Linked DNA regions of Notamacropus eugenii. The main gene of each other region encodes a partner of the protein of the gene in region 2 in a complex. Links are inferred from orthologs where the notes say so. Each region holds a gene or a part of one and is shown on either strand. Other genes may lie near its edges.

What was found.
Region 1: C1H9orf78 (region 2) and PPP1R8 share a complex: the UniProt entries of both Homo sapiens proteins name them as parts of the spliceosome. The link is inferred for Notamacropus eugenii from reciprocal best matches to the Homo sapiens genes C9orf78 and PPP1R8.

The regions. Positions count from the first base shown.
Region 1 is NC_092876.1:68,903,677-68,919,586, reverse strand, and holds the start of PPP1R8 (nuclear inhibitor of protein phosphatase 1), read right to left. Parts: upstream 6,071-15,910; 5' UTR 6,063-6,070; coding exon 5,830-6,062; intron 4,236-5,829; coding exon 4,175-4,235; intron 1,915-4,174; exon of another isoform or gene 1,748-1,914; intron 1-1,747. Other genes in the region: STX12 (syntaxin-12), read right to left, coding at 14,869-14,961. UniProt on the Homo sapiens protein: Inhibitor subunit of the major nuclear protein phosphatase-1 (PP-1). It has RNA-binding activity but does not cleave RNA and may target PP-1 to RNA-associated substrates. May also be involved in pre-mRNA splicing.
Region 2 is NC_092872.1:481,403,065-481,419,465, forward strand, and holds the start of C1H9orf78 (splicing factor C9orf78 homolog), read right to left. Parts: upstream 5,914-16,401; 5' UTR 5,706-5,913; coding exon 5,626-5,705; intron 4,670-5,625; coding exon 4,610-4,669; intron 3,826-4,609; coding exon 3,774-3,825; intron 3,375-3,773; coding exon 3,304-3,374; intron 3,075-3,303; coding exon 2,997-3,074; intron 2,251-2,996; coding exon 2,053-2,250; intron 315-2,052; coding exon 178-314; intron 1-177. UniProt on the Homo sapiens protein: Plays a role in pre-mRNA splicing by promoting usage of the upstream 3'-splice site at alternative NAGNAG splice sites; these are sites featuring alternative acceptor motifs separated by only a few nucleotides. May also modulate exon inclusion events.

The DNA.
Region 1 (15,910 bases), on a different chromosome or scaffold from region 2:
GCTCATGTATTGTGCATCTAAAACTGTCATGCTCTCATTTTACAGTTGAGTAAACGGAGTCTCAGAGAGTTGCAATGACTCGCCCAAGGTCACACAGTTCATGAAGTAACCAAGCAAGGATCTGAGCATGAGACCTCCCACACTTCTGCTCTTTGCTTCTCTTCTCCTTGGGGATCTTATCGACTCCCATGGCTTCAATTATCAACTATGCAAATGACTCCCAAATTCCCATCTTCCACCTCACTCTCTCCCTAGGGCTCCTGGGCTGAAATTTCAACTTCTGGCTAGATGTTATCATCTGGATGTACCAATGGAAGCTTAAATTCAGAAATGTCTAGGAATGAACTCATTCTCCCTCCCTCACCTCCTCCATCCTGGTTAATGATATCACTACTCTCCCAGGACCCCAATGACATCAATCTTAACTTTCCCCCCCCCTTACCCCACACATTCTAGCAGCCGTCGAGCACTTCTACAGCATGAACAAAGGAAATGATCAAGTCATTTATTAAATGCCTCCTATGTGCCAGGTACTGGCACAGCACTCAGTGCTTTAAATATTATCTCATTTGACCCTCACAGGTGCTATTAGTATCCTCATTTTACAGATCAGGAAACTGAGGCAGAGCGGTTTTGGGATTTGCCCAGGGTCACACATATAGTAAGAGTCTGAGGTGGGATTTGAACTCAGGTCTTCCTGACTCTGGGCCCAGTATTCTATCCATAATGCCACTTAACTGTCCTCAGTCTGATTCTGAATCCTCCCTCCTTCCCCCCCACCCCCACAAATACCTGAGTTCCATTCTTATTCTCTTCGTATGTAGGTTATAACAACAGACTTTTAACTACCCGTCCTACCTTTATCCTATCCCTTCTCTATCCAATCTTCACACTGGATTCCCAAGTAATCTTCCCAATCTTCCTCACTCAAAAACCTTCAAGGATGCCCTCGGTGCGACTCCCTAAAATATAAACTCCAGATGCCCCCTACATTCTGATTCCAACCCTTTCTGGCCTCATCTCGTTCTAGTCTTCTTCACATATTCTCAATCCAGTCAGACTGGTCTCTGTCTTGCACGCTCTCCTGCACTGTCTCTGTGCCCCGTGCCTAACACAGCTTCTTTCCATCTCTGTTGTGATCCCACCCAATGTCCAGCGTGAAGCTCTTCCCAGAGCCCTCTAGAGCTCATGCCTCAGGTGAAAGTGACTTTCCTTCTCAAATTGCTCACAGTATTTTGTCTGAACTTCTTCTTTGCATTTATCTCCCTCTGCCTTGTATCAGAGTTATCTGTATCCATGTGTCCCATCATCTTATGTATCCTCACCAACTTGGACAAAGTAAAGTGCTTTAATATAAGTCTGTTCTTTTGAATTCGCTGAAATTCTGAGGTAGGCCACAAATTGTAAAAATATATATATATGTATATATATATATATATATATATATATATAAAACAAATAACGCCTATATAGGTTGAATTTCTCATAGCATTCTCCACTCATATTTTATAAATATAGATCGTGACTTATGATAGCAAGCTGACTCTTTACAGGTCCTGAGATTAGCATCAAATAAAGTGAGGCTTACAGTAAGTCTGACAGAAATCGCTCCACTGTTCTCAATGTCCCTGCTTCACAATGTTACAACTACTTCTGACTATAGGAACTATCTCAGTCTGAATACATTTCAAGCAGGCTGGTCTTCTGCTTCTCACTCCAGCCATTATTCCAGTCGGGCTATCATCAGGACTGTACCTTTGAGTTATAACCCAGAGTGCTCACCTCAACATGCTGGGCTTAAAAGACTCATGGTTTACTATAATATTGCACTTATAAAACCCAGCTATCACAAGACACATCCCAACCTTCTAGAGCAGCTCAGGATACAGATAGCTTGGTTAGTATCAAGTGCTTGATAATTCCATAGAGATAAGACCGGTCCTGGTCTGCTGCTAATAAAAATGACCAAAAGACACTCTTTCGATCATAATTTGCCAGATATGTTTCACCCAGTCGTTTAAGGGAGCATTTAAAGAGATTTCATTCTAGGAACTAACAGCCAATCTTACAAATTATGCCTAATTGTCTTCTTCCCCCCATACTGATAATAGAGATATCAGTTGAATTCTAGTCAAGAATTTATTAAAAGCCTATTATGTGCCAGGCACTGTGATGAGATTTAAAAAAAAGGACAAAAATCCTGTCCTTGCCCTCAGGGAGGTCACTGTCTAATGGGGGAGACAACATGCAAACAACTATCTACAAACAAGATTCAGACAGGATCAGCTGAAGATAACAGATAATAAATGGAGAATATGAATAAACAATAAACAAAGAGAGATAATAAATAAGAGGGAAGGCACAACTACGAGGGATTAGGAAAGGCTTCTTGTAGAAGGTAGGATTTTAGGCAGGGAAGTCAGGAAGGGGAGATGAGGAAGAGAAGAAGCCCAGGCAGGGGGATAGTCAGGGCAGATTACCTGAGGAACAATAAGAAAAGCCAGTGTCATGGGATTGCAGGGTACATGGGGGTGCGTGCATGCATATGTGTGGTGAGGGTGGCTGCAGGTTATGAAGGGCTTTGAACACCAAACAGAGAATATTCTATTTAATCTGGAGGAGTGGGGGGGGGGGGGGGGAAGAGGGGTTAATGGAGATTATTAACTAAGGGGTGACATGGTTAGACCTGAGTTTTAGAAAATCTACTCAAGATCTGAGGGGGGGGATGGATTAGAGGTGGGAGAGCCTTGAGGCAGGGAGATCAACCAGAAGGTCATTGCAATAGTAACCAAATTTCTTCCCTAAGGATCCTTTAGCAAAGACTATTAGGCATTTCTGGAATGCTCTATTATAAAACACTTCATATACATTGTAATGCAGTATTTCATGTTAATCTTCCACTAAACTTCCCAGGTGTTTCTTACCATGTCTCAGAGATGCCCTGGGCTCTTGGAAGGCCATGCCACTGAAATGCAAGGTCTGGCAAATTATACCAAGCCTGAAAACCTTTGGGTAGAGAACAGTGATGGATTCATCTATCTGTCACTAGAGCCTAGCCTAGCTAAGTCTGGAAAATTCGGCAAGAAGTAGATGACTCCCAGGTGATAATTTTGGGGAGTTTTGGACACTGTACTTTATGAATGGGTTGTCTACTAAAGCGTGGAAGGGCTATGATCTGCACTGGTGCGCTGCTGAAACCACAGATTCACAGATCTTCTGAAGTACTTCTTGTAATAATCTCAATGTGGGGGGTCTTAAAAGTTCTACTTTCAGAAGCAGACCTATGACATAACAACTACAAGTGACTGACCTGAGATTACACTGTATGTGCACAGAACGGAGCCAGCTCCTCATTTCAATTCACACTCTAATTCAGCATATTCCAACAGGGACCGATAACAACAAACTGTGTCAAGAGGGTCCTTCACAGTAGGAGTGGATAGTGCAAGCAGATGGTGGGGCAGCACAATGAACAATGTGCATCAAAGAGAAATCATAATTCAATAATATTGCTTGGACTAAAAATCCTAAGTGCTGAAACTGATCTCAGTCACAGAGGCTCTTTGGCCCATCTCCTTACACTACTTCACCAACTCTTAGTGACAAATATGTCACAACCCAGGAACAATTCTAACCTTGAAAGCTCTTTTAAAAAGTTCTATCCAGATTATGGTTAGGGAGCTTCAGCCTCCAATTATGGGCTCTTTCAGATAAAGTCATCCTCCCCATTCCTCTTTTAAAAGGCTCCTTATTAGCTCTGTCCAATCCTCTGAGCAAAACTCAGGGACAATTCTTACAGACGCCTCTTTCTCAAGCTCTGTATTCATGTGATTTATTCAGCTAATTAATTCTCAGTGCATTCCACACATCCCATGCTATTTCCCAGAAAGAGTGACAGAAACTTCTTATAGGTCCTTTGCCCACGTCCTTTCCTTACAGTTCAAAGATCCATGACCTATTAAAAACTCCTCACCGGGAAGATGGAGAAGCTAACATACAACTCAGTGTCTGCAAAGAGATAGTGTGGTTCAATGTATTATACCATTAAGTGCTTTTAATGGAAAAAATTGGAAATTGAAAATAGCATTACTGGAAAACAAAGCACAAGAATGAGGGTGGGAAATGACTCATGTTTTCCCATGTTGGAAAAAATGCATGATATGTATTTTCATACCTCAATTAACTTGTCTCCTTTAACTACATCCAGATGTAAACCAGGTGGGGGTTTACCTGCCCTAGAAAATAAAGAGAAAAACACCTTCAGGATGAGTACAATGAATTGCTATTTACAGTTTCTGTTCCCATTGAGTGTCACAGCTCTCCAAACAGCCTATAATTAGTTCACATTCAAGTAGAAATGCCATCTCCTTCGCTGTTATTACAGCTTCTTTCCACTTTCGATGCTGTACTTCTCCAATGATTCAACTGCTCCAAAACAGACCTCAGTTAAGCAATATTTAGAACAGCAGGAAAGAAACCTATATTTTTAAACCATATGTCTACCTTGCAGGGCAGGCCTACAAAGATAGAAGCTTCCGGCGCAGCGGATCAGGGAATCTGGGCTTGATGCTAAGGTCTGCCAATTAGAATCTGAAAAGGCAGAATAAGCTAAGAGGAATCTGGGGCTGCAGGTGTGAAATAACATGTCAGGAAAGCACAAAGTTGGTGGCTCACAGTACAAGTAGGGACCGGACTTGGACCTTGAGTTCCGAAAGGAAAAGGTGTGCTGCCCAGTTGGGAGTCCGAGGTGACCTTGGCCTAGGAACCCCTTCCTCCCTGCCTTGGCATCCTCTGAGGACAAAGGCACAAAGGGGTCCTGGAAGCATCTGCGGCTGCCCCTGTCAGGTCGTACTTTCCCCACATCCACCACAGCTATGATGGTCATCTCAGCCTCCAATGAGACCCCGTCCAGGAGGGGCCCAGGGATGAACTTTCGAACAAGAACCGGGGAGGAGATCGCCCATTTTCTACCGTATCATTTCATTTCCTATGAAAGCCTGGGGGCATTAGGGCTAGCCCTCAGGGCAACCCTCTCCGTGTCTGTCTGTCCGACCCCCCGATGTCTGTCCCAACTAGCAGGAGTAACACGCACGGCCATCTCACGACCTGGACCACCTCCTGCTTAGCACAGCATGAGAGAAGGGGTGCCCGCGGCCAGAGCACGGCATGAGCGGCGGTGCCAAGTCTGCGCCCCGCTCAAGAGGAGTCCCCGGGTCTGGCTCTGCAGCCCCGGCTCCCCATCTTCCTCCCGGTTAAACACCTCGGAGGTTTCCCCAAATTCTACAAGCCCACGCCGCAGGACCCCCGGGGAGTCGGCCGCCTGGCTTCCTTCCCCTGTCAAAGGGGGAGGGCTGGAGGCGCCGCCTCTGGGGGTCTTTGGGGCCCCGGCTTGGGGGGAGGGCCCTGAAGGCCTCAGACCCAGACCCCCTTCCGGGCTTCCCGGCCCCCCGAGCAGCGGCCCTCGGGCAGGAAGGGAGGACGTGTGCGGGTTCTCTGCCCCCAGCCCGCCCGCCTGCCGGCCTCCCTCTAGAAGCAGGGCTGGCCCCGGCGTCCCGGCCCCTCCGGGACCTAGGTGGGGCGGAGGAGGCGGGGGAGGGAGGAGAGGCCCTCCCCCTCCCCCAGCGGCCTCCAGCCCGACCCCGGGGGCCCCAGGCCGCCCGGTGAGGGGAGAGGAGGCGAGACGGAAGCAAGGATGGAGGATGGAGGCCGCCTCCTCTCCCCGTCCCTCGTCCGCCCGCCCGCCCCAGGCCCTGAGGCCTGACCGCCGCGCCCCGGAGACACCCCCGCCCCACCGGCCCGGCCAGGCCAGGCCCGGACCCCGGCGCTCACCAAGTCGGGCAGTCGAACAGCGGGAGACTCGAGCCTGAGTTCGCGGCTGCCGCCATCTTGCGTCTCCCCCTCCCATTTGGAGAACCCAAAGCATGCCGGGAAGTGGGAGGACTCAACTGGGGAGGGGAGGCGAGGAGAGAGATCCCAGCAGTCCATGCGCCCCCTCCACCCGCTCCGTCCGAAATAGACCCCCCCATCTCGAAGACCAAATAGCGAGGTCTCCGAGAGCGCATGCGCCATTCTGCCCCGCCCCTCGCTTCTGCACGTGGGTTTGGTGGCTTGAGCCTTGGCCCTGGCGTTTGGGCCAGTAGAGAACTCCAGCCCTTGGAGCCCCTCTCCAAGGCCCCTCCCAGTCTGCCACTCTGGGTTCCAAGGGCCCTCCTGGTTCTGCCACTCTGGGTTCCAAGGGCCCTCCTGGTTCTGCCATCCTGGGTTCCAAGGGCCCTCCTGGTTCTGACATCCTGGGTTCCAAGGGCCCTCCTGGTTCTGACATCCTGGGTTCCAAGGGCCCTCCTGGTTCTGACATCCTGGGTTCCAAGGGCCCTCCTGGTTCTGACATCCTGGGTTCCAAGGGCCCTCCTGGTTCTGACATCCTGGGTTCCAAGGGCCCTCCTGGTTCTGACATCCTGGGTTCCAAGGGCCCTCCTGGTTCTGACATCCTGGGTTCCAAGGGCCCTCCTGGTTCTGACATCCTGGGTTCCAAGGGCCCTCCTGGTTCTGACATCCTGGGTTCCAAGGGCCCTCCTGGTTCTGACATCCTGGGTTCCAAGGGCCCTCCTGGTTCTGCCACTCTGGGTTCTAAGGGCCCTCCTGGTTCTGACATCCTGGGTTCTAAGGGCCCTCCTGATGGCAGTATTTTTGTACTCTAAGGCCCCTCCAGGCCCTGATATTTTAATATTCCAAGGACCTTTCCAGCTCCAACATTCCCAGTTCTAAGGCCTCTCTGTGTGCCAAGGTCCTTCCTAGCCCTGACGTTCATTCCACGTTCTAAGGTCCCTCCAGCTTTTGATGCAATCTAGGGGTGCTGGGAATCCCAAAATTCAAGGGTCCAGGGGGGATCTGCCTCGAAAGAATTCAACCACTCAAGGCCCTTTCAGTCAGAGTAGTGAGGTTTTATTATAACACCTGTTAGACCGGTGAGGTTCTAAGAATCTGCACAGTTTAATAGGAGTAAGATTGGTACTTTTATATACAAAAAGACAGTGAGAAAGTCTAGATGGAATCAAGGAATGGAAAGTAGGCTGGGGTGATTGGGCCTTAACTGGGAAAGGGGTCTGGATGGGATTGCATTCATCCTTCGTTGGGGAAGAAGACCACACCATCAGAGAAATAATGACATGATTTGCACTTGACTTTGTTTTGAGTGAGGGAGGGCTGTGCAGGTCACCAGCCTCACCTCTCCTCCAGAGCCATCTGAATCCAGTGACCAGATATTCATCAGGATGACTGGAGATGACCCAGGATGCAATGGGAGACCTTGAGGCCAAGGTCTTTGCAAGTACTCACTTAGGGTGAGGCAACACCCATTCATTGAATAGGACTGTTTAAGAGGTAGCCAGGGCATGGCTCCTTTAATGAGGCCACGAAAAAGAAAGACATCAGGCTGGCATTAAGGAATATCAAGTAAACTAATTAAGTAATCAAGGTGGGCTGGGGTGGGTCAGAGGCCTCAGACAAACACCAGGGACCAGGTTCCTGAAATTTGTGGGAAAGTTCAGGGGCTTTTCCTTTTAGGGGTTCAGATCTCATCCCCCGAGCACTGTAACATTCTGCAATAGATAGAGTAGTGGGTTTGGACTCAGGAAGACCTGAGTTCAAACCTGGCCTCAGACACTTACAAACTGTGTGACTCTGGGTAAGTCACTTCACTTCAGGCAGCCTCAATTCCCTCAACCATAAAATGGGCATAATAACAGCACCTACCTTGTAGGGTTATTGTGAGGATCAAATGCGATAATATTTGTAAAGCATTTAACACAGTACCTGGCACACAGTAGATCCTTAAATAAATACTTGTTTCCCTCTTTCCTTCTACTTGTAATATTCCATGTTCTAAAGTCCTTCACAGCATTGACACATTATACTCTACAGCTGCTTCCAGATGACATTGTATTGTAAGGTTCCTCCTAAGTCTGACATTCTGTGTTCTATGACTCTTTTAAACTTTTACATTTTACATTCTAAGGTACCGTCGAGTTCTGACATTCTGTGTTCTAAAGCCCCTTCCAGCTCTGAGGCTCTTTTAAGATCTAACATTCTATGTGTGTTGTCCTACACACGATTTCTGTACTCTAGCATTCTGTTATTAAAACTGCTTCCAGCTTTGTCACTTTCTGTTTTGAGGCCCCTTCAGCTTTGATATTAGGGCAGCAAGGTGGTACAGTGGATACAGCACTGGGTCTGAAGTCAATAAGATTTGAGTTCAAATATGGGCTCAGGCACTTACTGGCTGGGTGACCCTGAGTAAGTCACTAACCCTGATTGCTTCAATTTCCTATCTGTAAAATGAGCTGGAGAAGGAAATGGCAAACTACTCCAGTATCTTTGCCAAGAAAACCTCAAATAGGGTCATAAAGAGTAGACATGCCTGAACAACAACAAAACTTTGATAGTGTACATAGGTATCTTAGTACCTCCCAGCTCTAACATTATATATTCAGTGTTCTAGCATTCTATGTATTAAGCCTCTTTCCAAGTCTGGCATTCTGTGTTCTATAGTCTAGCTCAGTTGTTGACATTCTGTATTTCACAGTTGCTCCCAGCTCTGACATTCCATGTTCTAAGTTCCCATCTACCTCTGACATTCTGTATTCTAAGGGCCTTCCCAGAACCAATACCCTGTGATCTAAAATTAAAAGGGATTATGGTGTCCCAAGGTTCCCCTCTTGCTCTAGAACCTATGATTCATATACTCAGCACCTTCATTCAGTGCCTTTCCACAAACTCAAAACAGGAATCCTGTTTTGTAGCTGAATTGTAACTGAAAAACATGTAGAACAGTCCCATGACTGATTTTTACCTCATTCAAAAATGACTAGAAATTTCTCCTTTCACCCAGGGCTTACAGAACTTTCACATAAACCTTCATTCAAGAGACCTCAGCTCTCACTGATATTTCTGCAATGAACTTCCAATTGTATTGTAGTATTCTGCAGTTTAAACCAACTGAAGAAAGGGACTTGCTAGAGGTTTAAGGAGGTTGTAACATATTATCAGCCATGACTTGTGATGGATGATTATATCAAGGCCATATATTATCCAGGAAAAGAAATAGATTGATCACATAAAAAACAAGTGATGACAAATAGGAGATCCAAATTGTAGAGCGATGTCCAGGAAATATTTAAAAGGTCCAGAGAAAGGCTTCCAGTACTTAAACTAAATAGGAGTTATGGAATGACATAGATAAGATGTACATAGGATGCGAAAGCAAGGATTCCTAGGATCTATCTTCTCTGATGAGTCCACATGTCAGTAAGATCCCAGAACCACTGATGCTTCAGTGGTATGCCTGAAATGGAAAACAGATAAAAGCCTTTCCTGAGGCAGATCAATGAAGGCATGGAGGAAAAGGGGCTGGAAGTCTACTCTTTTTTTTCCAATACTGATGATTCAGAGACACATACATGCTCTGTCTGTCCTACTTTCCTAAAGCTATGCCATGCTAGAAAGTACTGGGATTTAATAGACACCTTCTCTAAAGCCCTGATCAGTTTTGGAGAAAGGCAGCAGCTATACACAGAGAGAAATGAGAAATTAAGGAAAAGCCTTACACTGAGAACCAAAATGGAAATCCAGGGCTTCTAATGAGTAAATGCTATTTGTGAGAACCTGATAAAACTTACACAGCAGCTTATAATACAAAGTTGAAATTAGCTGCAAAAGAGGTGGACTTTTCTCCCTTGGCAAAAGTATCAAGTCATCTTGGCCAAACACAATCCACCATCAGCCAGGCATCAGTTCTGCTGGTTATCTGTACTCTTATGCTATGTCCAGCCCTTCCTTTCTTTTTATTGGATGGGGAGTGAAGTCTCCTCATTCTTTTCCTCAAAGAAAACAAATTCTTGGATCCAAAAAAAGGGAAGGAAGCAAACATTTATTAAGTGCCTATCTGTGTCAGGTAGTTTTAAGTGATTTACAAATATTCTCTCATTTGATCCCCACAATAACTTTGGGATGCAGGTACTATTACTATCATCATCCCCATTTTACAGTTGAGGAAACTGAGAAAGAGGTTAAGGTACTTGCCTAGGTTCACACATACTAAGTGCCGGAGGCCAGAATTTGAACTCTGGTCTTCCTGATACCAAGCCCAGCTCTCAATCTACAGAGCTACCTAGTTGCCTCTAGGTGGAGCTAAAGTGACCTCAGCAAAAGAACAACACACTCCAATACAAATCAAGGTTCAGGAGCCTTTACTATGAGATGTACTCCTGTAAATCACAGAGATGGAAAGAACCTCAGAGGTCTGCAAATTCAAATTGTATCCCAATGATCCCCCTCTGCAGCAGCCCCATACAAGTGGCCATCCAGCCAACACATGAAGAACTCAAGAGTACTGGGAACCACTGCTACCCCAACAGATCCTGTATTCTCCCAGAAATACCTCAGCTAGCACACAACACTTAGACCTCAGCAAAGAGCTAGTCCTCTTTGTGTATTTCAGTGAGATTTGGTATCTCAAACTAACTGGGCCTAACACCTGGTGAGAAGCTCAAGGTGTAACATAGGAAATATAGTTTGAGTTTAAGAAATTCTGGACTCTTGGGAAACAGGTTAGCTCAGTACATTTGTAGGATCACCTCTTCCTAGGCAAATTTCCTGTCCAGAAACAGAAATGTGTTTTTGGCTAGCTCAAAGAGCATTACGCCATGCAGACAGTAATGGGCTAGAATACTGCCTTTCATCTATCACCTCAACCTTGTGAAAGTCTATAAAATAGGTTCTAGACTGGCAGGCTGAATCCCACCCTCTGTTCTTTCTCTCCTGGCAATTTTGTGACTCATGACTTCAGGAAAATGGGAATAATTTACACACCTTATTTTCAGAGTGATCTCTGAGAAATAATTATGTCTTTAAAATGCTTTAAGCAACAAAGGAGACCAAGGTTCACTCACTAACTTCCAGGGATTGGAACCATTAAAGCTTTCTGCCCTTTTGATCCATACTTAAGTAGTGGTAACTTTTGGTCAACAGTAGAGTGGAAAGAGCTCTACATTTAGAGGTAGAGAAAAGCCAGCTCTATTCCTTACTCCCTGTGTGACCATGAGCAAATGAATGAATCTTTCTAGGCCTGTTTCCTTATCTAGAAAAAGACAGGGTTAAACAAGATGACCTCTAAGCTCTATTGGCCACTCTCAATCATTACCCTAGATGAAGCTTCTCTGGCCTTTCCATTTCTTAGCAATCAATATACCCAGGTGTACTTTCCCCCAAAATCTGGTAGTCCCATAGCCCAAGAAGCCTCAAATGTTTTTCTTACCCCTATAATCCTTTCTGTTCTAGCCATGTTCCCTCTGTTTCCAGCACAGTGGATGTGAACACAACCCTTTTGGTATAGGGGGACAACCTGCACTACCTAGCCCTCTTATAATGCAAAAAAAAATCTCTTTGTTTGAGTACTCGCATCATCAGTGATGTCAGGACAGGCTTGCAGACTGGGATGCAGCTATCTAAGTCCTCAACATTGTGATCTGTAGAGCCTGGGGAGTTGCCTTTGCATTCTGATATATCCATGATGGGACAGATGGAAAAGGAGAACCGATCTAAAACTTGGAAATGAATTCCTGGAAGAGAAATCAGAAGACATTGGAGGCACATTTGGAATCTGAAAACTCACTTGACTATCTGACACCAATGGATTACAGTACTTGAAGGGCAGTATGGGAATACAAGAACCAGGGAATCTGCAATCAGACCCTATCTTACACACATCTGCCAGGATCATGGTAAATCCCTTCACTTTTCTAAGCCTCCAATGCTTAATCTATGAAATGGAGATGAAAGTACTAAATCACTCTGTAGAGCTTAAGATTCCACATAAGGGTGTTATTTCTAGTCAAATTTCACTTTGGGGAAAAGTATAACAATTCTTTCTCCCACCAAACAAGTTGATCAAGCCATCTGAAGGCAAAGTCTAGATTAGGATTAAAGTCCACCAAAGAAGGAATCTCTCATTTAGTATCTTTCTAGTGAGGTTATCATGGCAGAATGGATAACACCTTGGATTTGGAGTCAGGAAGACCTGGCTTCCAGCCCTGCCTCAGATACTTATTAATTGTAAAATCCCTTGGGCAAATCCCTTCATCTCTTTAAGTCTGTTTCATTTCTAAAATGTTGATGACCTGGCACCTACTTCATGGGTGTAAATTGCCTTACAAACCTTAAAGTGCCAATGGGAGAGCTATCATTCCCTAGCTCATATAGATGGTCCTGGAGATTTCAAAGGCGCCATGCTTCGTGGAGTTGAAGAGACTGAACAGAAAAGTATTTATTGAAACTTTGGGAGGCACAGACTATCTCCTAGATAGTTTTCTCCTCTTCTATCTCCAAGGCCTCAGGGTAAGGTACATTCTGTAGGAGCTGGAACTGAATCCTAATTTCATTCCTTACATTGTGGCCAAGGGCCTTTTCATCTTGAGGAAGGAACCATGAAGATCCTAAGTACAAATACTATCCTCAACAAGCCTCTGAGCAGTTGAAACATCCATGAAAGGAGGAGGAGGAGGAAGAGAAGCAGTTCTTCCTTCTAGAATCCATTTTGCATTAGACATATTTTTTTTTTTTGCTTGAGAGCCCAGGATACCAGTGGGCCATGAGACACTCTTCTCTCTACCCTTTCGTCCTACACTTAGACTGAGATCATTTGAGGACCTAGCAGACTCCTACTTTCAATATCCTCCCAATGGGCAGGTAGGTTCCAACTGGAACATACAATTCTGATTTGCCTGAGAAGAGGGGTTCCTGGCTTTGTTCAAACTCTCTAGGGGTCTCCACATCTTTGGAAGCGATGGAGGAGACTGATGAACAGCTCATGAGGCATCCATCTGGCATTACTCTGGACAGACAAACCAAATCCCCTGGAATGCTAGTACAGACTGAGAACCGTAGGATTTTAGTGCTGCAAGGAGGCCTCTTTTAGAGTCATCCTCCAATGGCTCACTGAGGCATGGTAGTGATCTCAAAGGCCGTCCTGGGGGATCACAAACTGTGGCAGGGCCTCCAAACCTGAAAAGGCTCCAAGTACAGACATAGCAACAGAGTGATATAGTATAGATACTCTCTGGGGATCAGTAGAACTGAGCTCAGAGAGGCTTATTACTGTATCTTGCATTTTTTCAGTCATACCACTCCTTTGGGACAGACCATTCTCCCAGTCACAGAGGGACTGGCTAAGATCTATATGAGTAGAAGGAGCAAATGCCCACATTATTTCCAGAAGTATTAGAGAAGGGATTAACCCCACAATTTTGCCCCCAGAACTCATCTGGTACCACCACCTTTGCTTCTAGGGGACAGTAGAGTATGGATTCACCATTCATTCTATCAGGACACTGATTCACATAAATGTACTCGAAAAACTTTTAAAAATGGTTTATTGATATTAATTGGATGGAATGGTGGTGCAATAGTGCAAAGAAATGTGTGCAATTCTGGGGCCTTGTTTTCCCTAATTTTCACAGCTGGACGAGTCAAAGAGAATTAAACAAACACCAAGGGAGGCTGAGGGAGGGCAGAGGATGTCAATACATTTGGACTGGCCATGTGCTAGCTAGCTCACCATCAGGCAGCTTGGTTCACATTTGGGTCAGAGCTGAAAAGGTTGTGCTAACTCCATTCACTCTAAACCGACACATGGGGGAAGTAGGCCACATTTGTGTGGCATGCGGGTGGGTTGATTTCAAACATTTTCAGTCAGTCTAAACTATATGCAGAGAGGTGAGTCTCCTCTTCATAAATTAGTTTCAAAGGTTAGCATTACTATTCTGAACCAGCATTATTTACAAAATGAACCTTTTACCTACTCTAGCCTTAGGTTCATAGGACAAGTTATTAAAGAAAACTTCTGGCTAGTTTTAAAAATCTCTTTCATTCGACACTCAGCAGCTTTTGAGGGGCAAGGGCTGGGTAGGTGTTCAACTTTGTGACAGCAACAATTACCATTCACCAGGAACGTAGAGTCACAAACTAAACGAAAGTAAATTTAAGTCACTACAAATTGTTTGCTCCCATTTAGCTTGTTATAAGAATGCCACTTTTAAACAGCAATGACTGCTCAGTCATCCTCTTTCTACAAATATATGAGAGAAGGGCCCCAGGGAGTGTTGATAAATATATTGGCTAATTCATCTGAAAACCAAAAAGTGCTATCTGAACAAAATCCAAATGGGGCAACTACAAACTGACCTCAGCAGCAAACTGAAGGATGAAACTTGAAGTCAAATGGGAGGTGTGCCCTTAATTAAGACTGACCAGTTCGCACTTTCAGCTAAAAACACAGAGCTGAAATCTTCCAAAGCAAATGGAAATATTTTTCTTGGAAATTCCAAATTAAAATGGCAAGTAGGAAACATTGCTGGTTTATAAAAGGTTCCTGATGGCCTCCATTACACTGGGTGCCAGAAAATCCTTCTGTTCCACTTGCTGGTAAAAAGGCTGTTCTGGCACACACATAAAAATACAACAGCACAAGAATGTAGTGTGTTACCTGTCAAACAAGAACTTCAAGAACGGAATCTCCGAAGACTCACTCGTCAGCGGACATTTGGGACAGAGAGCAATCAATACGAGAGAAAGCAAAAACCCACATAAGTTAATTCCTAATTTGCAAAACTGATACAATTTGTACATAAACCGATAAACACCAGCTCCACGGTTCCCCAACCCCAAAATCTAGTCACCAGCGGTTAGTTTCTACCTAGATTACTAACAGGGAGCTTGGGGATGCTCTCTTGAGGGGATCAGTTTGCTCTGGAGATGCCGACACACTCTTGCTTGGAAGCAGTTCAGCAGGAGTGGACTCTGAGGGAATTGACCACTTCATTTGGATAACCACACGATGATGAATATCAAGATTCCTATAGCCACTGCTAGCACAAGCACCAGGATGCAAATCTTCTTCCGGGATTTTTTCTAAGGAGAAGAACAGTTAAAAGACTGATAAGAAAACAGCTTACTAGCCTTTATATACAGGTTGTCCAAGTGCCCCGTCAAAAGGCTTTACACCTCTGCCTTCTCCTAGTAGTTCTGAATAACACACACTGCTACACAAAGATTCATGGTGACCTGCTTCTTCCTTCCCCTCCTACCTCCCTGCCCCCTTCCTGCCCCCTCCCAGCAGATTTTACTTAAAGAGAGGGCACAAAACTTAGGACCCCTGAATCCAACTAGTCTAGTTTAAGTACTGGATAATGGAATTTATATTAAATTCAGTTGCAGGCCCCCAAGCCTAATGATGTGAAGGAAAAGACTTTAAATGTGATGGCACAAGTTGGAGGTGGGGGGTGATAGGAGCCCCTGATACTTGTCATGCTCCTAATACTGTGCCTTAGCACACTCAGTAGTTCAATGGGAGTCTCTAGGAGGATCTGCTGACATCTTTCCCATCTGGTCTTCCTGTCAGTGCTCTTGCCAACATGCAGAATCTTGTTTGGGACAGCTGACCCTCCCTTCTCCTACCCTGCTCATATCCAGTGAACTATCAGGTGCACCAGTCTCGCGGGGGCAGCACCTCCTGCCTTTGGGCCCTGCTTTCTGTTCCCATATCACCACGTGAACCCAGGGCTTCACTAACATCAATGACAACAACTTCACGTGGCCCTCAAGATCTCTCTGAAGAACTGTGGAAATGATTGTGTGACTTGGGAGCTGCTGGCAAAGGCTGCAGCACGGCATGCCCCATCAAATAAGGGGCTGTGTTCTATGAGAGAAGCAGAACGGCAGTAGCTCCAAAGAAACATGAGATGTGCAGATTTAGAGACATTTCCACCCCAAAGGTTCACACGGACTGTGCCTGATCCGAGCTCGTATTGATTGGTCTGATCGGCCACAGTGTCTTTGCCCTGATACAGTGATATCATCT
Region 2 (16,401 bases):
ACATTAAGAAGCACCTACTATATGTGCAACACTCAGAAGTTAAGGACTTAAGGATTTTCCTGGTCACTAGAGTGGAACAGAAGTAACAGAAAGGGCAGAGAACATGAGACCTGGCCACTCGGGTGCCCTGAAAGAGGGACGAAGGTGAGGGAGCTGGGGTGCATGAAACACACTCACATCGGTTGTGCTGCACATAGTTCACAGCCATGTTGGTTGGAACAAAAGAGGTTTCACTGTCTTTCTTTTTATTCTGTTGTTCAGCCAGCAGGCGTGCCTTGGCATCTTCTGTTGAAATGATATTTTTTATTTTTGCACTAAGGGGGAAGAGAAGGAAAACCTCTTAACCTTAAAATATGGGGAATTCAGAGGTAAGAGTCTTATAAGACTGCCATCTTCCCTCCCCCCTCCCCAAGTACACAGAGGAACGTGGATTGGAAAGAAGCAGGTGGGAGAAGAAGAGAGTTCTTTACTGAGATCTTGGCCAACTCCACATGCAAAGGAGCCTTAAAAGGGAATGACACACTCACAGAGATCATTTCTGGTTACTGCACTGACTTGTTACTATCTATACTATATTGATTTGCAATATTTCCTCCCTTTTAAAAACAGTTGTTTTAAGCCAAAATGAAGACAGGTGATTAAGGGAGGAACTGAACTAATTATTGCCAAGTTCACTACTGAGAGGAGAATTAAGAGGCCTTGCTAAAATCTGGAACACCATTCCTCTGGGGTGTGTTCAGGACAGATGGAATAAGTGCAGTGCTTAAAAGCACTTTCACTTTCAATCACAAGGGCCCTCCCTCAAGCCTTTCCACCTGCTGGGCCATCTGAGTGGCACCTGTGAACAACCACAACAGCAGCCCACCTCCTGGAGAGAAGGAAAATTACCTTTCCACTTCTTCCTTAAGATTATTTTAGATGAAAGTGTGTGTCTGTGTCTGTGTTTTGTGTTACCCTTGTGATTTCAAAGGAACACACACTTCCCAGGAAACTTCCTCTATCAATGCAGACTGGCACCTGCACTGCTACTTCTGCCTTTTCAATTATGTGGGGCACTGAGAGGTTCAGTGATTTGCCCACAGTAGCACAGTCAGTATGGACCAGGGGGAGGACAATCAATTTCAAAGGTAACTCTCTATCTACTTTACCACCACTACTTCTCATGGGAGGGAGAGATAGGGAGAAAGAAAATAACTTCAAAGACTGGGTTAAGAGAAGTATTTCCATATGTGCTGACCAGCTCTCCAAATCTGTTCAGCCAATTGGTCCAGAGTCCTTGTCAGCCCTCCCCAGTTATATTTGCTATTCTTGAAGTAGCATGGGCAGAACATGGGACATTAAGTTTACTTTTGATTTTAGCACAAAAGTTTCAGCAACATTCCCCTTAAGTTCTACCTCATGTAAACTAGTCAGCCAGGTGGTAGTGTATAAAGTGTGTGTGTTTATCCTTTGTTGCCAAAGAAGACCATGCCATCAGAGAAATAATGACATGACTTGCACTTGACTTTGTTTTGAGTGAGGGAGGGCTGTGCAGGTCACCAACCTCACTTCTCCTCCAGAGCCATCTGAATCCAGTGACCAGATATTCCTTAGGATGACTGGAGGTGACCCAGGATGAGGCAATTGGGGTTAAGTAACTTGCCCAAGGTCACACAGCTAGTGAGTGTCAAGTGTCTGAGGTGAGACTTGAACTCAGGTTCTCCTAACTCCTGCACTGGTGCTCTATCCACTGCCCTGTATAAAGTACTAGACTTGGAGTCAAGGACACCTGAGTTCAAATCCTGTCTCAGATACCTATTAGCTGTATGACACTAGGCAAGTCATTTAACTTCTGTCTACTTCAGTTCCTTTATCTGTAAAATGAAAATAAAAATAGTACCTACCTCCTGGGTTGTTGTAAAGATCAAATGAAATATATATATACATATATATATAAATAAAATGTTTTCAAAATCTTAAGGAACTATATATGCCAGTTATGATTATTTCTAATAAATGAATTATTTCTACTGAATTTCTATTGATTGAATAAAGTAAGAGGACGAAACTTACTCAATGCCTAAGTCCACCTCAGGGATGCCGCTCAGCATCTGATTGGATAGCATTTCTTCTGTTTTCTTAGCTGAGGAAACTCGGATGCTCTCTGGGAGCTCATAGAGACAGTCTTCAGCATTCTTCAACTTCACCTTCTGCTCCTCATTTTCCACAATTCCTTTCCTCTTCTTCAGCTCAGTTTCAATATATTTCATCCTAGAATATACCAAGGGACAGCAGGTTAACATACTAGCTCTGTCCTACTCTAAGCCACAGCCCTTCTGCTAGTCCAGCAGAAGAGGAAAGTGCATTAGGGGAACTTCAGGAACTGCAAAGTAGATGGGAAAGGGTTGTTGTGTTTGTCCTTCATTCTGGAAGAGGATCATGACATCAAGATGATGACATGTCTTGCAGTTGACTTTGATCGGAGTAAGGGAGGGCGGTACAAGGTCACCAGCCTCACTTTCTCCTCCAGAGCCATCTGGGTCCAGTGGCCTGATATTCATCAGGATGAGTGGAGATGATCCAGGATGCAATGTGGGACCCTGGACATTTCAGGCTAAGGTCTTATCAGATTCTCACTTTGAGTGAGATACACCCATTCAACGAATAGACCTCTCTAAGTAGTTACTCAAGGGTGGCCCATTTTAATAAAAATTTAAAAAAAAACCAATCTGGGAGAAGACTTTCAAGGTTCCTGGGGAAAAGAGAAACAGTTACTATTTAGTATTTACATTCCCTCTGTGCCAGGTGGGCGGGGACCTGTTGTCCAATCTATGAGTTAATGAATTAGGTTTAAGATTTGGTCTTTGAGCAAGAAAGGGTAGGAGACAGAGAAAGGAAAATAATTCTGAAGCCTTCTAGAAGCTGCAAACATTTCTCTTGGTTCAGCTAGGAAAGAGGATTTAGAACCCACAATAAAAACCTTATCTGCTCATACTGTAAAAAAAATAAAAACTTACATGTCAGCATCTTCATCCCTTCGGTTGGTTTCTGCTGAAAATGATGTTCCTAAGTTGAGGTCCTCCTCTTCATTAATCCTAAATGGAGACAGAGTTATGGTATCTTTAATATTTCCTTGGAAAACAATGTACTAAATTCATTAAAAAAAAACAACACATAAAATAGTTATTCTTTCACAGCTTCTGTTTTCCCCAGTCTCTCTGAGGATGCAAGTGAGTTTTCCTACTACTGTGGACAATCAAAATTGAGTGTAGTAACAGGGAGAGAAAATGTTCTCAATGGTTTCTAAAAATGTTTTCTACCAACCTGTCCTTGTTTCTCTCCTTAAGTTTCTTCATGTCCACCATTCCACCAGTCTTGATCTTAAATGGATCATCCTACCAAATAAGAAAGATAATGATGATAATGAAAAAGCAAATATGGTTTATAAATTAGGTGGGGGAAAAAGATAATTTGTCATTCATGTTTTTATCACCCAGAGTTCAATTATCAAACAGTTATTAAGCACTTACTATGTATTAGGAACAGTATTGGGTGCTAGACCCTAACACTCAGGATCCTGAATAGGTGAGGTATCAATAAATGCTGGCTGATGTAGGATAGATAACCTTTCTGAAGGACAACCTATTTCAGTTCTGCTCATCATACAACTGTGCTTTACTGAACTATATCACACTATTTTACTGAACTAAATCACTTTTAACTTGGTAACCTTTCAGGGTCATCCTTCCTAGCCAAATATTACAGCATTCACCAGAGATGTCCACAAAACTCACCACTAGAGTTGTCTCTTCTTGTACTTTCTCTCCAACCAGGAGGGCTACGGCACTGAATAGAAAAAATGGTGGGTACAACTCAAAGATAGGAAAAGGTAAAGCAATCAGTTCAGAAATTCATTATTCAGGCTGACAAGTAAAACTCATATGAATAATGGGGGCCAAAAAGGCATGTCATGAAAGATCACATCTTTAAAAAAAACCCAACCAGACTAAAACGGATGCCAACTCTCAACTTTACAGATATGTTCTTCGTTCTTAGAGCTAGCTAGATTTAGAACTAGATTTAGTCCAGAACTCTATCTCTCTCTCCACCTCCCCCCACCTCAGGTCAAAAATGTAGGGAGAGCCAGCACTTGAACCCAGGTCTTGTGATTCCAAATCCAGTCCTCTGTGTACTGCTTCCATTCTGCATGATCTTTCCAAATATCACTGACAGTGCCTCAAGACTTCTGCCAGTTCCTTCAGTTCCCAAGGATATAAACTATGCGGTCATGGTGACTTGAATTCATCAAAGGTAACTCTTTAAATTTTTTCTATCCTGTTATTTTAAGTGCAAAGGTCATTCTCCTTAGCAGAGAAAAATGAAGCAAAATAAACACTAAACATCTCTATTTTTTACTCTGCATACTCCTCATTTTGAACTATTGACAAGCATCTGGAAAAAGCAAGGGAAGTCAGGTAGGCGATGGAATGCCCTGGTATACAGTTTAACATAGAATATGGGCTATTTCAAGTAGTTATGCATTTGTCACAGTATTACACAAAGGGGATCCAGGACATACTTTTTTCTTCTCTTCTGACTGTGGTCCCCAATCCAAGGTGGCTAAACCTACCTCACCCCATTAGGCCGTCTCCTCAAGCTCTGAACTTCTTTGGTTTCCTCAAGCTTCAACCTGAATATAACACAGAGAAATAATTAAGCAGTCCAAACATCAAAATAAAACGGGGTCTGGTTATTGAGAGTTCCATCCACTGGCGCTGAGGCTCTGTCCCCAAAAGGGACACTGTATTTCCAACTACTGGACAGGTTCAGAAAGTCTGACAGATTTCCTCATCTGCTGGGGGACAACAGTCCCTGAGTGTAGCAGTTTTTGACCATCCAATGCGTGTACATGTGTTCATAGGAGAGGATTGGGGGAGTTTAAAAAAGGTCAAGAATTAATTTTTTTTTTAGAGTGACAAATTAGGTTTCAGCATATCTCCTACCTATTCTCTTTCATTCTCCCCATTCCCCTCCCTTCTTTCCTAGATTTAATACAGTCCTGTTTTCTCTCGGAAGAGAGAAGTTTTGTAAATCTTCTGTCTAGTATGAGGCAGAGCATAACACACATATAAGTCAACGCAGGTAAGAAGAAGAAGGTTTCTACTGCCCAGCTCACAGGGTAGTTACGGGAATCACAAGACATTATGTGTTACATAAACGTCAGATGTGACACAAGTAACACTCTGAAGGAACGAATGAATTGTCATTGGAAGAGAACACACGAAATATACATTCAACAGTTGCCAGTTAAGACAACAGCATTCCAACAAAGGCAAAACCAGTGCCTGTCCTCCGAGAGCTCCCATTCTGCTACGGGGGCAGGAGGGCAGCATCTTGGTCGCGGGGAACCCCCGCAGCTCTCGCATCGTTTTGGGGGTGCTCGCTCCCCCCGGGGGGCGGAGAAGATAAAAGCCGGGCAGTACGAGATCAATCCCGCAGGCTCGGGGTTAGGGTCAAGGCCGGCTGCCCTCCCGTTCGGACCTCGTCCTCCCACACCAGGGGCTCGGCCGATCCCGGAGGGATGTCATTGGGTCGGGGCTTCTCCGCACAGCAGTCCAGCCGCCCCCTGCCCCGCTCCCCACTCACCGGACCTCCTCACTGTCTTGCTCGTCTGACTCCGACTCCGAGTCGACGCGGCGCTTGCGGAAGGCCTTGCCGGCCCGCATGGTGCCCCGAGCCCGGGTTTCCACCAGGGACTGCCGCGGGGTGCCCCCGATGGGGCGCCTTGGCCCCGGAGCTGCGCAGCTGCTCAGGGCTGCTTCCGGCGCAGGCCAGTGCGGTCAGCGCTGCGTGCGGCCGCGGCGGCGGCGGGCCCGCCTCCGGCTCCAAGGGCCCGCGCGGGGCGCTGCCCATAGGGCCGCGTGCTCGGAGCCCGCCCCGCCCCGGCCGGCCCCGCCCCTCCCCCGTGCCGCCGCCGCCGCCCGAGCCGCGGGGATGGGGAGCGGGCAGCCGTGCCGGCGGCCACTCGGGAGCCCAGCCCGCCGAGGTGAGTGTGGGCGCGCGGGGCGAGGGCCGGCCGTTATCCTTCCGAGCCGCGGGGGCGGGGAGGGAGGCGGCGATCTTCTGCGGGGGACGCTCCCCCCGCCTCCCTCCCCTTAATTCCTCTCCCCTCTCATGGCACTCCCCTTTCCTCCTCTCTCATTGCACTCTCCTCTCTTCCCCCTCCCCCGCTTTCTTTTTCCTCCCTTCCCCTTTCATCCTCCTCTCCTCTCCCCTCCCAAAGCCCAAAGCTTGAGCGGTGGTCGAAGTTGTGCCAGCATTCCAGCTCAGCCCCTCGAAGGTGCCTTCCAGCGAGACAGGAGTTCGGCAGGTACACCAGGTGTACCAGTGTCTCTTCTGAATTTCACTAATTATCTAATTCAGACTGTAGAAAGTTGGCCTTTTAAAAAATGAATGAGTTAGCCTAAAATAATACTTTTAAAAGTAGATTGTATTTGGGGACTTAAGAAACATTGTCACAGCCCTAAGGTGAATTTTTTAAAGGAAAACGTTTACAACTTTCCCTCCTCTTGTTATTTTTTGAAAACTAAACACCACTAACGGCCGCATCAGGCCCCAGGCCTCTGTCATCCCTAGCCAGTCCAGAAGGGAGCCTCCTATATTTTTAGTTGACATTACTGTGGTAGCCTAATGATCACTGGATTCTGGAGGGAGAAGATTCTGTACTTGATTTTAATATTTACTTGCAAGTGACATTAGCTAAGTTCCTTATTGATTCTATAATTTGCTTTGTTGTAGGTAAATGAAAGAGAATAAAACTTCCTCTCTTACACAGGTTCTGTGACGATTAAGTTCACCTTTTAAAAATGTGTTTCCAGAAGTCTAAGGCTTTATGTTAGTATATAGTAATTGTTTCCTTTTTTTTAACCATAGGAGAGGTCATTTCTTTTAGTAGTTCAGATCTTCCACTAGCAAGTTATCCCAATTTTAATGGAGTCACAGTCCTCATTTACCCTCCCTAGATATGCTTTTCAGTTGCTTATAATGTATACACCAATGCTGATTGGTTTTTTGTCATACCTTTGAACTGCCAGTGTTGGCTGGTGTCTGGGAAATGGATTGGTTTTTTCCTTTGGAAGGGTAAAGCTTGACCTGCCCTGGGCGTATTACAGTATATCATACCAAGCCTGAAAGGTAGATGGCACCAGGTAGTTCCACGTAGGTGTCTTTAAATACAACTGTATTTGTAGGCATCAAGGACTGGAAATCTTGTCTCACAACCATTGTTTTGGTCATTGCTTAGCTAAGTACCCCTCCAAAGATTCTGAACTTATACTCTGGCTGTGACCTAGGCCCCTGTGCACTAACTATACCCTTCTAGGAAGAATTGAGTGGATAACCTGCATCATAAGCTATGACTGAATGAAAGATTGGCACCTTTGGTTTAGTTAGCACAAATTAGAAGACCTGGGTTTGAATTCTGACTGCCACTTTTTTGCTTTGTGATCTTAAATCACTTAAAGCTGATGTTTCTGTTTCCTCATCTGTAAAATGGGACTGATAACTGTATTTATTACCTACCTCACAGGGATTTTGTGAGAATTGAATAAGGCCATGGCTGTAGACAATGGATATAAAAGCATTTTATAAACCACCAAGTGTTACTTTAATTTCAACTTTTGTTACTATGAATTTAGATTTAATAAATGTTTTTTAGATTGAGTGGTGAGAATATTTTGATCTTTTTGTTTTGTTTTAGGAGGAATGTTTAGTTCTGGTTTGAACTGGTTTGCTAGCTATTTGCTTAAAAAAAAACCTTTAGTTTAGGTTTGAGATCAGTAAAATTAATATTTGTGTTAGGCAATTAGTATTTGTGGTTCAGCAAATTGGTACCATTTGTTCTAATTCCTAGTTTGATTGGTGGTGCAGTGGAAAGATCACCAGATCTGGGTTCTGCCACTAACTTTCAGTGTGACTGTGGGCATGCCACTGTCCTACTCTAGCCCTCAGTTTTCCCAAGATGAACAGGTTAGACTAGATTATGTATCATCATCAGCTTTCCAGCTCTAAAAAACCACACATCTAAGTCCCCGTTTAAAAGTCACTTAATTCACACTTCTCTATAGAAGAGGTATCTGACACCACACACAGGCAGCATGTGTGCAGCCCCCAACATTCCCCAAAACATTGGAACAAGATGAAAATGTAATTGGAAAATATTTAATAAGACAATGAGATGTGGTTTCCTAAGTCAGTATATGGCCTCCAACGATCCTGATATTTGGTTTAATGATCTGGTTTCTGTTTGAGTTTGACACCACTGCTCTAGTATATGTATGATAATTAAGCTAGCATTGATATAGCTCTTTAAAGTTTGCAAAGTACTTTACATATATTTTACTTTATCCTCACAACAGCCTTGGGAAGTAGCTGCCATTATTATCCCCATTTTATAAATGAGGAAACTTGAGGCAGATAGGTTAAGTGACTTGCCCTGGGTCAAACAGCCAGAAAATGGCCAAAATAGAACTCCAGTCCTCCTGATTTCAGTCTAGAGCTTTATCCCCTGCACCACTTAGTTGTCTAGGAATGCCTCCTGTGTGTGTTGTTTTTTAACCAGGCCTTGTTGATTTCTCCTACCCCTATCCAGTCCTCCACAATGTATGAAAACCCTGTCTTATCAAATCACTGTTTCTTGTGCAGGACAGTAATGTCAGGTGCTATAAGGTTTTATAAGTACTAGTTATGGTCCCTACTCTCAAGAAGCTTACATTTAGTTGAGGAGTCTAGATCATTACAAGTGAAATCATTCAATTAACTAGTATTTATTGAGTGCCAACTGTGTGCTAATCATAATCACTGAAGATGGAACAAGGACTGATCTGTACCTCCAATGACCTTACATGTTAGGGATCTAAGGGGTAGAAATAACAGCTACAATATTAACAGACGTTTGTTTATTATACTGCTTTACGAAGCACTTTCATTACAATAACTCATAACTAATGCAAATTAAAACATCCCCTGCCTTTCTTAGATTGTTGTTTGTCTCTTTTTGTTCCAGGCATCTTTGACAGTGCCTTGAAGCAATAGATATTTGATAAGTGTTTGCTGAATGGTGTGTAAAAATATAAATATTCATGTTGAGTGTAACAGTAAAAATATTTAAATACTAGTTCAAAACAACACAGGATGCCATAAGGTCGTAACTGATTGTGCAGCCAATTATATAGCCAATAAATGCCACTGGGAGCCAGCCATCACTGAGAACTGGGCTGGGCTGTCCTTGAAGGAGGCTTGGAGGAGATGGGGCTAGAGCCAGGTCTGGAAGCTTAGGCAAGAAAGGAGTCTTGCTTGCTTTTTCTCTTGTGGTCCTGTGCGACTACCCCAGCTCCCCCTGGATTTCTAAGGCTTATGTGCCCCGTCAACACCTCCACCCTCTCCCCGCAAAAAAGGCTATATATACCGCCTAATAGAATGCAAGTTCCTTAAGGACACAGACTGTGTCTTTTGGGGTAGAGGGGCAGTCTTTGTCTCCCACACGACTCGGAGGTAATGGGTGCAAGTTTCCTCCTACAGAACACTGAGTTATTGACAGCTGACACTGGTTTGCTCTCAAGGAGATGGCAGTCCATAGGAGAAAGGACAGGACAGATGTTTGGTGATAAAGGCGATGGTGCTTTTTCTTTTTTAAAAAAAGGTTTTACTGATTCTCTTTCAAAAAACAAAAGTCACTGTCACTTTACAGTGATCCCACCCACCCACCGCACAGTCTTCTCTAACAAGTAAAACCTGCGTGCAAAACACATCTTTCCGCCCCCCACCCCCCACCCCGCTCCCCCCACGTTGGCCGGGTCTAAAGAATTCTTGGTACGGCTCCTGTAGGCCCCCATCTCCGCAGGCAGGCTGAGCACGGTCCCCTTCCCAGGAGGCTATAACCGGGGCACTGGGGGAGAGGGCCTCCCCAGTGAGCCCCAGGAGACCCCGCCTCCTGGGCTCCGAGCTGGGACGCCTGCGGGCCCCGCCTCCACCTGGGCCTAGGAGCGGCTTGGCTTCCCCAGCCCACGCCCCGGGCTCGTTCGCTCGTGGCCTCTCTCTCCGGGTGGGAGGCCCTTCCCCGGCGCCCCCTGCCCCTGCTCGGTGCGCGGACCAGCCCGGCGCGGCCCCCTCCTGCCCCAGCCCTCCTCTCTACCTGTCCCCCCGCCCCCTTCCCTCCCTCTCTGCCCGCGAGTCCGCTCCCCCACCCCGGGCGTAGTCCCGGACCCCCGGCCTCGGCAGGAAGGCGGGAGGAGACCCCAGGCCCTGGGGTGCCGAAGCCGCAGCCCGAGCCCGAGAGAGGAGAGGCGGAGACCGAGGAGGGCGAGGACCCGAGGAGGGGGCCGGTGAGCGGTCAGGGGCCCGGTTCTGCCGTTGGGGAGCCTGGGGGCCTGGCCCCGGAGTTTAGCCCACCCGAGCTTAAGGAATTGACTGGAGATGGGCGGGGGAAGGTTCGAGGGAGAGGGGGAATGAAAGGATGGGGGAGGGAGAACCAGACCCACCAACTAAGAGGGGAGAGTTGGGTAGAGGGCGAAGGTTAAGAGAGGGAAAGTGGGAGGACTCGGGGAGAGTTAAAGGGGGATGGGACAGGGCTAAGAGAGAAAAGGGAGAACGGGGGAGGGTGGCGAAGGTGAGGCCAGCTTAGAGAGGTCCGGGAGTGAGACTAGGGGAGGAGCAGGAGAGGGTTCAAGGAAAGGGGGCTTGTGGATAGATCGAGGCCGGTCAGGGACCTCTCCCCCGCCTCCACCAGATAAGGAGGAGAAGTTTGGTCAGTAAAACCTCGGAGGAAATTTTGAGGTGGGGGGTGATGAAGGTTAATAGGAACCAGCATCTTTTGAAGACAGAATTAAGGGAATAAAAGGGAGTCAAACAAGGCATGGTGGGGGGAAGCGAGGGGGAATGGTTTAGAAGGAAGCCTGCAGTTGTGTTGGAAAGGGGATGGAGTGCATTGGTAACTCAGAAGAATTAGAAGATGAGGACTGAAAGCAGAGGGGTGACAGTGGTCGACAAATGTGTGGTGTATGCAAAAACCAGGCAAGAAAACCGAAGGAACTGGTGACTCTAGGCAGAATTAGTTAGGTCAGTTGCCTGGGATGAGAAGCGTTTCCCAAGGGGCTGCTCCGAGCCTCTGTTTAGTTTTTGCTGTGCAGCGACTCCTCTCATTTCAGTGAGCACCAATGGGGCGGGCCCTTGGTTAGTTAAACCTCCTTGCACCCACTTTGCTGCTTTTTTTCTTCATGAGGAGGGAGGTAATTCTGGGATTACAAAGACTGTCATCACAACCACATCACACCACCTGTGTGGACAAGGATGATGCAGCAAAAGGTCCTTGAGAAAATGATGAGTAACCCTGAGAAGCAGCCTGGGCAACAGGCTGCCTGGGCTCTAGTTCCGATGTTGGAATTTGACTCTTGCTCCTAGACGTGCATCCTCCAGACCCTGCTTTTATCAGGGAGTCAAGATGACAGTTGCATTTGATCTCTTCTAAAGAATCATTTATCTTCACCTGCAGCCTCTCTTTTGAAATCTTAATTGTGTAACCTGGCAGCCTCCAAAGGAAGGCTGATTTCATTCTGAAAGCTCAGTGGAAAGCTTTGTACCTTAGTGTATCTGCATCATTCTCTCTCCCTCCCTCTCTCTCTCCCTCTCTCACTCACACCCACACACCCACACATCCACCCCACACACACACTTGCTCTCATTCCCTCTCCCCCATAAGTTTTTTGGTTTTTTGTTTGTCAACTTAGAGGGGGAAAGTGCCGTGTGAATTAGCCAGGAGAGAGAATGCATTTGTGTGTAGAGTAATAATTTAGTTTTTGTATGAATATGAAAAGTGATAGATTACTTATGCTGTAGCAAGATTTGGGGAAAGGCAGGATATCTTTTTTAATTTAAGTTTTAGCAGTGGCTGCTGGAGAAAGAGGGAAGACATAGGAGCTCTGCTTTTTTATCAATTGTAATTTCAACAGGTCCTGAACGAATACCTACTTTGTACATATTCTTTACCAGGCATTCCATTTCTCTGACATTTTTTCAAAGTGTTTCATCATATTGATCATTGACAAACATGCTCCCACTTCTAAGATAAAAATAAAGAATCCTGAACATTTTAAGTTCCTGATAAAAGCTCAATAAGGATTAGTGCAAAGAAGTTGTCAGTTCTCTGGGAAAAGTTGTCCACTGATAATTGGCAGTCTTTGCCTTGTGCTACATTTTTAGGGTTTGCTCATCATTCCTATTAAAGGAGGATTATTTACTTGGCTTCAGAAGCAATTAACTTCAAGCTTAGTTAGTGCTTACTGCAGCCTTGCTTTTCTTTATCTATTTATAGGCAATTCTTTTTGGGTTCCATAGGTCTGGATGTTAGGCCTTGGGGAATCTGGCTCTAATTTCTGCCTTAGTATTGGGTCTTTGCAGGGTCTGTGGTAGAATTCTACATGTGATGTGTCAAGAGAAGAAAGTGTATCATTCATGGGTGAAAAAGGTCTTTGATTGTGAAGTAGTACTCCTCAGCTCAAGGAATCATTTTTTAGCAGGTCTGAACCTGATGAGAGTTCAAGAGCTTTGGGGACATGTGCTTCTAGTGTTTTCCTTTTTCTGTGGGACCTGGACAAAAGGGAAACTAATAGAAGCTATGCTTAAGGTAATTTAATTTTTTTTAACAGACACATTGTAATTTTAATAAATGATTGTTTTAGGAGATGATACAAATTTATCATTTTGTGATGACTGTTTTGTTACAGTGAAAGAAAACCTTGGTAAAAGCCTATGGGAATAAAAGTCCCTTTGGTAGTCAGGAGAAAGAACATACATTTGAATCTACTTTGATTATGAGTATTCCTTGATCTAAAGAAAGACTTGGCTTTTTCCATATAGTATAACTAGGTAAGAGACACTGAATTTCTTCTTTCATACACAGGACATGATATGTCTGGGATATATATAATGTAGAGCATTTTCTCAGAGAGTTAGGAAGTTGGTCTGGAAGCGCTCTTGATTTAAAGCAAAAATATAATCAAAAATTTTTTTTTGCTTTTTTTTTTTTTTTAATCTGACCTCTACTTCAGACTGCAGATTCTAAGTACAGTATAGCTAACCACAAACTTTGGTAATCCTGTGCAGGTCAATGTTTCCTTCCACACTAAATCAAAAGCATTCAGTCTCTTTTCAAAATAACTAGGGGAAGTTTCAATTCCTGATTTCTCGTCTAATTGAGAAAGCAACAACAAAAAAGAATTTATTAAGTTCATGCTAGGAATAAGCTCTCTTTAAGATCATGGCTCAACTACTTCTAATTCTATGGTAGGTTAGAATATGTTGGAACCGACGCAAAGTAAATATCACAGCTATCTAAGAAGAACTAAAGAAAACTTTTTAGATAGTAGCCTACTATTAAATATACTTAAATCTAGAGGTAGGTATGATCATGGCATTAAAGGAGTCATCAAAGTTCTGATACGCTACTAATACAAAACATTAACACTGTATATTAATAATAATGGTATTAATGATGGCTACCATTTACATAGCATTTCAGGTTTTCAGAGCACTTTACAAATATTTTATCCTTACAACAAAAGTAGGTGCTGTTAATATCCCCAGTCTACAGGTGGAGAAACTGAGGCAGACAGAAGTTAAGTCACTTGTCTAGGGTCACTCAGGTAATAAATATCTGAGGCCATATTTGAACTAAGGTCTTCACTTGACTCTAGGTTCAGTGCTCTATTCACTGAGCTCTCTAACTGCCTCTAACCATTTACTGGCTCAAGTCAGAAATTAATGAGGGAAATTCCAATTAATTTGGGGGGACACTTAGCAGTGTTGTGCAGATTTAATCCATCTTTACTGTGTTTCCTAATTTATTTACCCTACTATTGTGTAATAAGTATACTAGCTTGTAATAGTATGTAATTGTTAACTGCTTAAAAATCATAGTTTATGATTTTTTTTCTTTTTCTGAGTTTCACCCTCTGCCAAGGTCGATTGCCTGTGTAAGTTATAAGACTGTATATATGACTGTGAAAAATATTGATCACTGACAAACATTGAACAACTGAGCAAGGTATTTTTTGGGTTAGTTGGTTGGTTGTTCTTGGGGTGCTCAAAAAACCTAAAATGACATTACTATGGGGCCAAGGTCCAGGATGTCCAGCTGATCAGACCAGTATGAACTTGGAAGGCTCTGCCAAGGGTTCAGTATAAATAGTCCATAAGAACATTTGGAGTGAATATGTCTCTAAATTTGCACAATGTGTCGGGTAGAACAAGCCACAATCAGCAAAGGACCTGGTATACTTTTCGAGAAAATAGAGGCCACTCATTGAGGATTTCCTCTTCTCCCTCTCCATCCCTTACAATCCTTCCTTATCTTCTCTTAGTTTTTCCTTCACTCTCTCAAAGATGGGTACCTTCCTAAAGCTAATCTCTCCTCCTGTGCTTTTGATCCTATCTCCAGTCTCTTCCTGGAGTTTTTCCCTTCATCTCTCCTGATCTTTCTTTTGTCTTTCTATGCATGGTCTCTTTCTTCATGTCTAAAAACATGTCCCATACTTAAATAACCTTTGCTTGATTCTGTTGTGCCCTTGAACAACATATCATCCTATATCTCTACTTCTTTCTCACCCCAAATCCTGAAAGGGGTCACTTAATTGCCTCCAGTTCCATACCTCCCATTCAGCTGTCAGTCCCTTTACAACTCCTGATTCTATCCTCTTTAAGATGACCAACAGTTTCTTACCTGCCAGATCCATTGACCTTTTCTCAGCTTTGTCTTTGGCCTCTTGAAGCCTCTGCTTCTCTCCTTTGACAGTCTCTACTCCCTCAGCTTCCATGATATTTTTCTCTCTTAGTTTCCTATCATTGTTTTTGAACAGATCGATGATTTCATTGGCATAAGGAGAATTAGGTAGGGGATTTTTCAAAGCTGATATTTGGATTTTATAATCATCAGTACTAAGAATGCCACTTCACATAAACATGTGGTACAAAATGACACAAGTATGTTTAGGGCCATATCAGAAATTGTTGGAAATTCTGTCCTACTCCCAAACCAAAATTCATTTAACAATATTTTAGGAAACTCAAGTTTTAACTGTGTCACTTGATAACTTGGCAAATTCTTCCTGCACTTTTAGCAGCAGATGACTGATGTTTTTTATTTCAATTGAGTATGGTTTATGAACTCATTTTAGATTTTTGCATCAAAATTTGAAGGGAAATTTTTCTGAAATTGTGTCTCCAGGCACTTCAGATGATCAGTTATAACTCTTACAATTGAATCTTTGGGAAGGTTATTTTCGATTATAAAATCATCTGTAGCTGTAAACATTTCTAAAGAACCATTTTCTACCGTATTCCATATAGTAACTTTTTTGTAAAACTTTCAATTTTATCTTTTAACATAAATATGTTACAGTTTCAGTATTGTGTTTCTGTAAGAGCAGAAAGCTTTTTACAAACAGTAAAAACACTGCAATTCATAACATTCAGTAGTCTCAAATCTGAGCTGAGGTGTTCCTGGCAGCATTTGTCGGCATTTCGTGGTGCGATGGCATGCTTAATGCAAAGTTGCACACGTTATGTGTTCAGAAACAAGGCTGCGGTGAAGTTTCGAGGTGCAGTACTTCCAAGAATTTCCAGAAACACTTCAGATTCATTATGAATTTGATTTGAAATTAATTTTTGGTTGTTGTACATTCAGAAACCTTTTACCATTACTAAATTTTTGCAACCCCCTCATTCAGTTACACAACTCCAGATGGGATCACAACCCACAGCGCTTCACCAAACTATATTCCTTCTTTTTTTCCTGCCTTTCTGACCTTTCCTCAGTATCATTTAGATGGAACGTTATCCTCCTCTCCACTAAATGTGGGCAGCCCTTAAGAGCTAGTCCTCTAGTCCAGACCTGCACAACTTGGCAGGAGGTAGGGATCAAAATTAAAATAGGCTAAACTTCTTCAGGCTACAGATAAGATAGACCGATGGTGGTTGGTTGCCACCAGTCACATGACAAACTGGAGAATGTAGTGGCAACTCTACATTTTTTTCAGCAACAAGAAATCCTTTGTTGGGCATATGTGGTTCAGGCCTTCTCTAGTCTTTTCTTTAGCTATCCTCCAGTCTTCTTTTTTCCTGTGATTGCCTCTGCTTGCAAGAGTTTGATGATTATTTCTATGCAGGTGAATCCCCAAATTATATATCTCTCCTTTATCTTTCTCCTGGAATATTACGCGTGTGTTGGATGTTTTCATCTGGGTGTCCTATAAGTATCTCAAGTGGTAATGGAGCATATATTTGGAACAAGGGCATCTTAGTAATCATTTAAGTTCAGCCCCTTCAATTTACACATGAAGAAACTGAGGTTAAAAGAAATGATGTGATTTG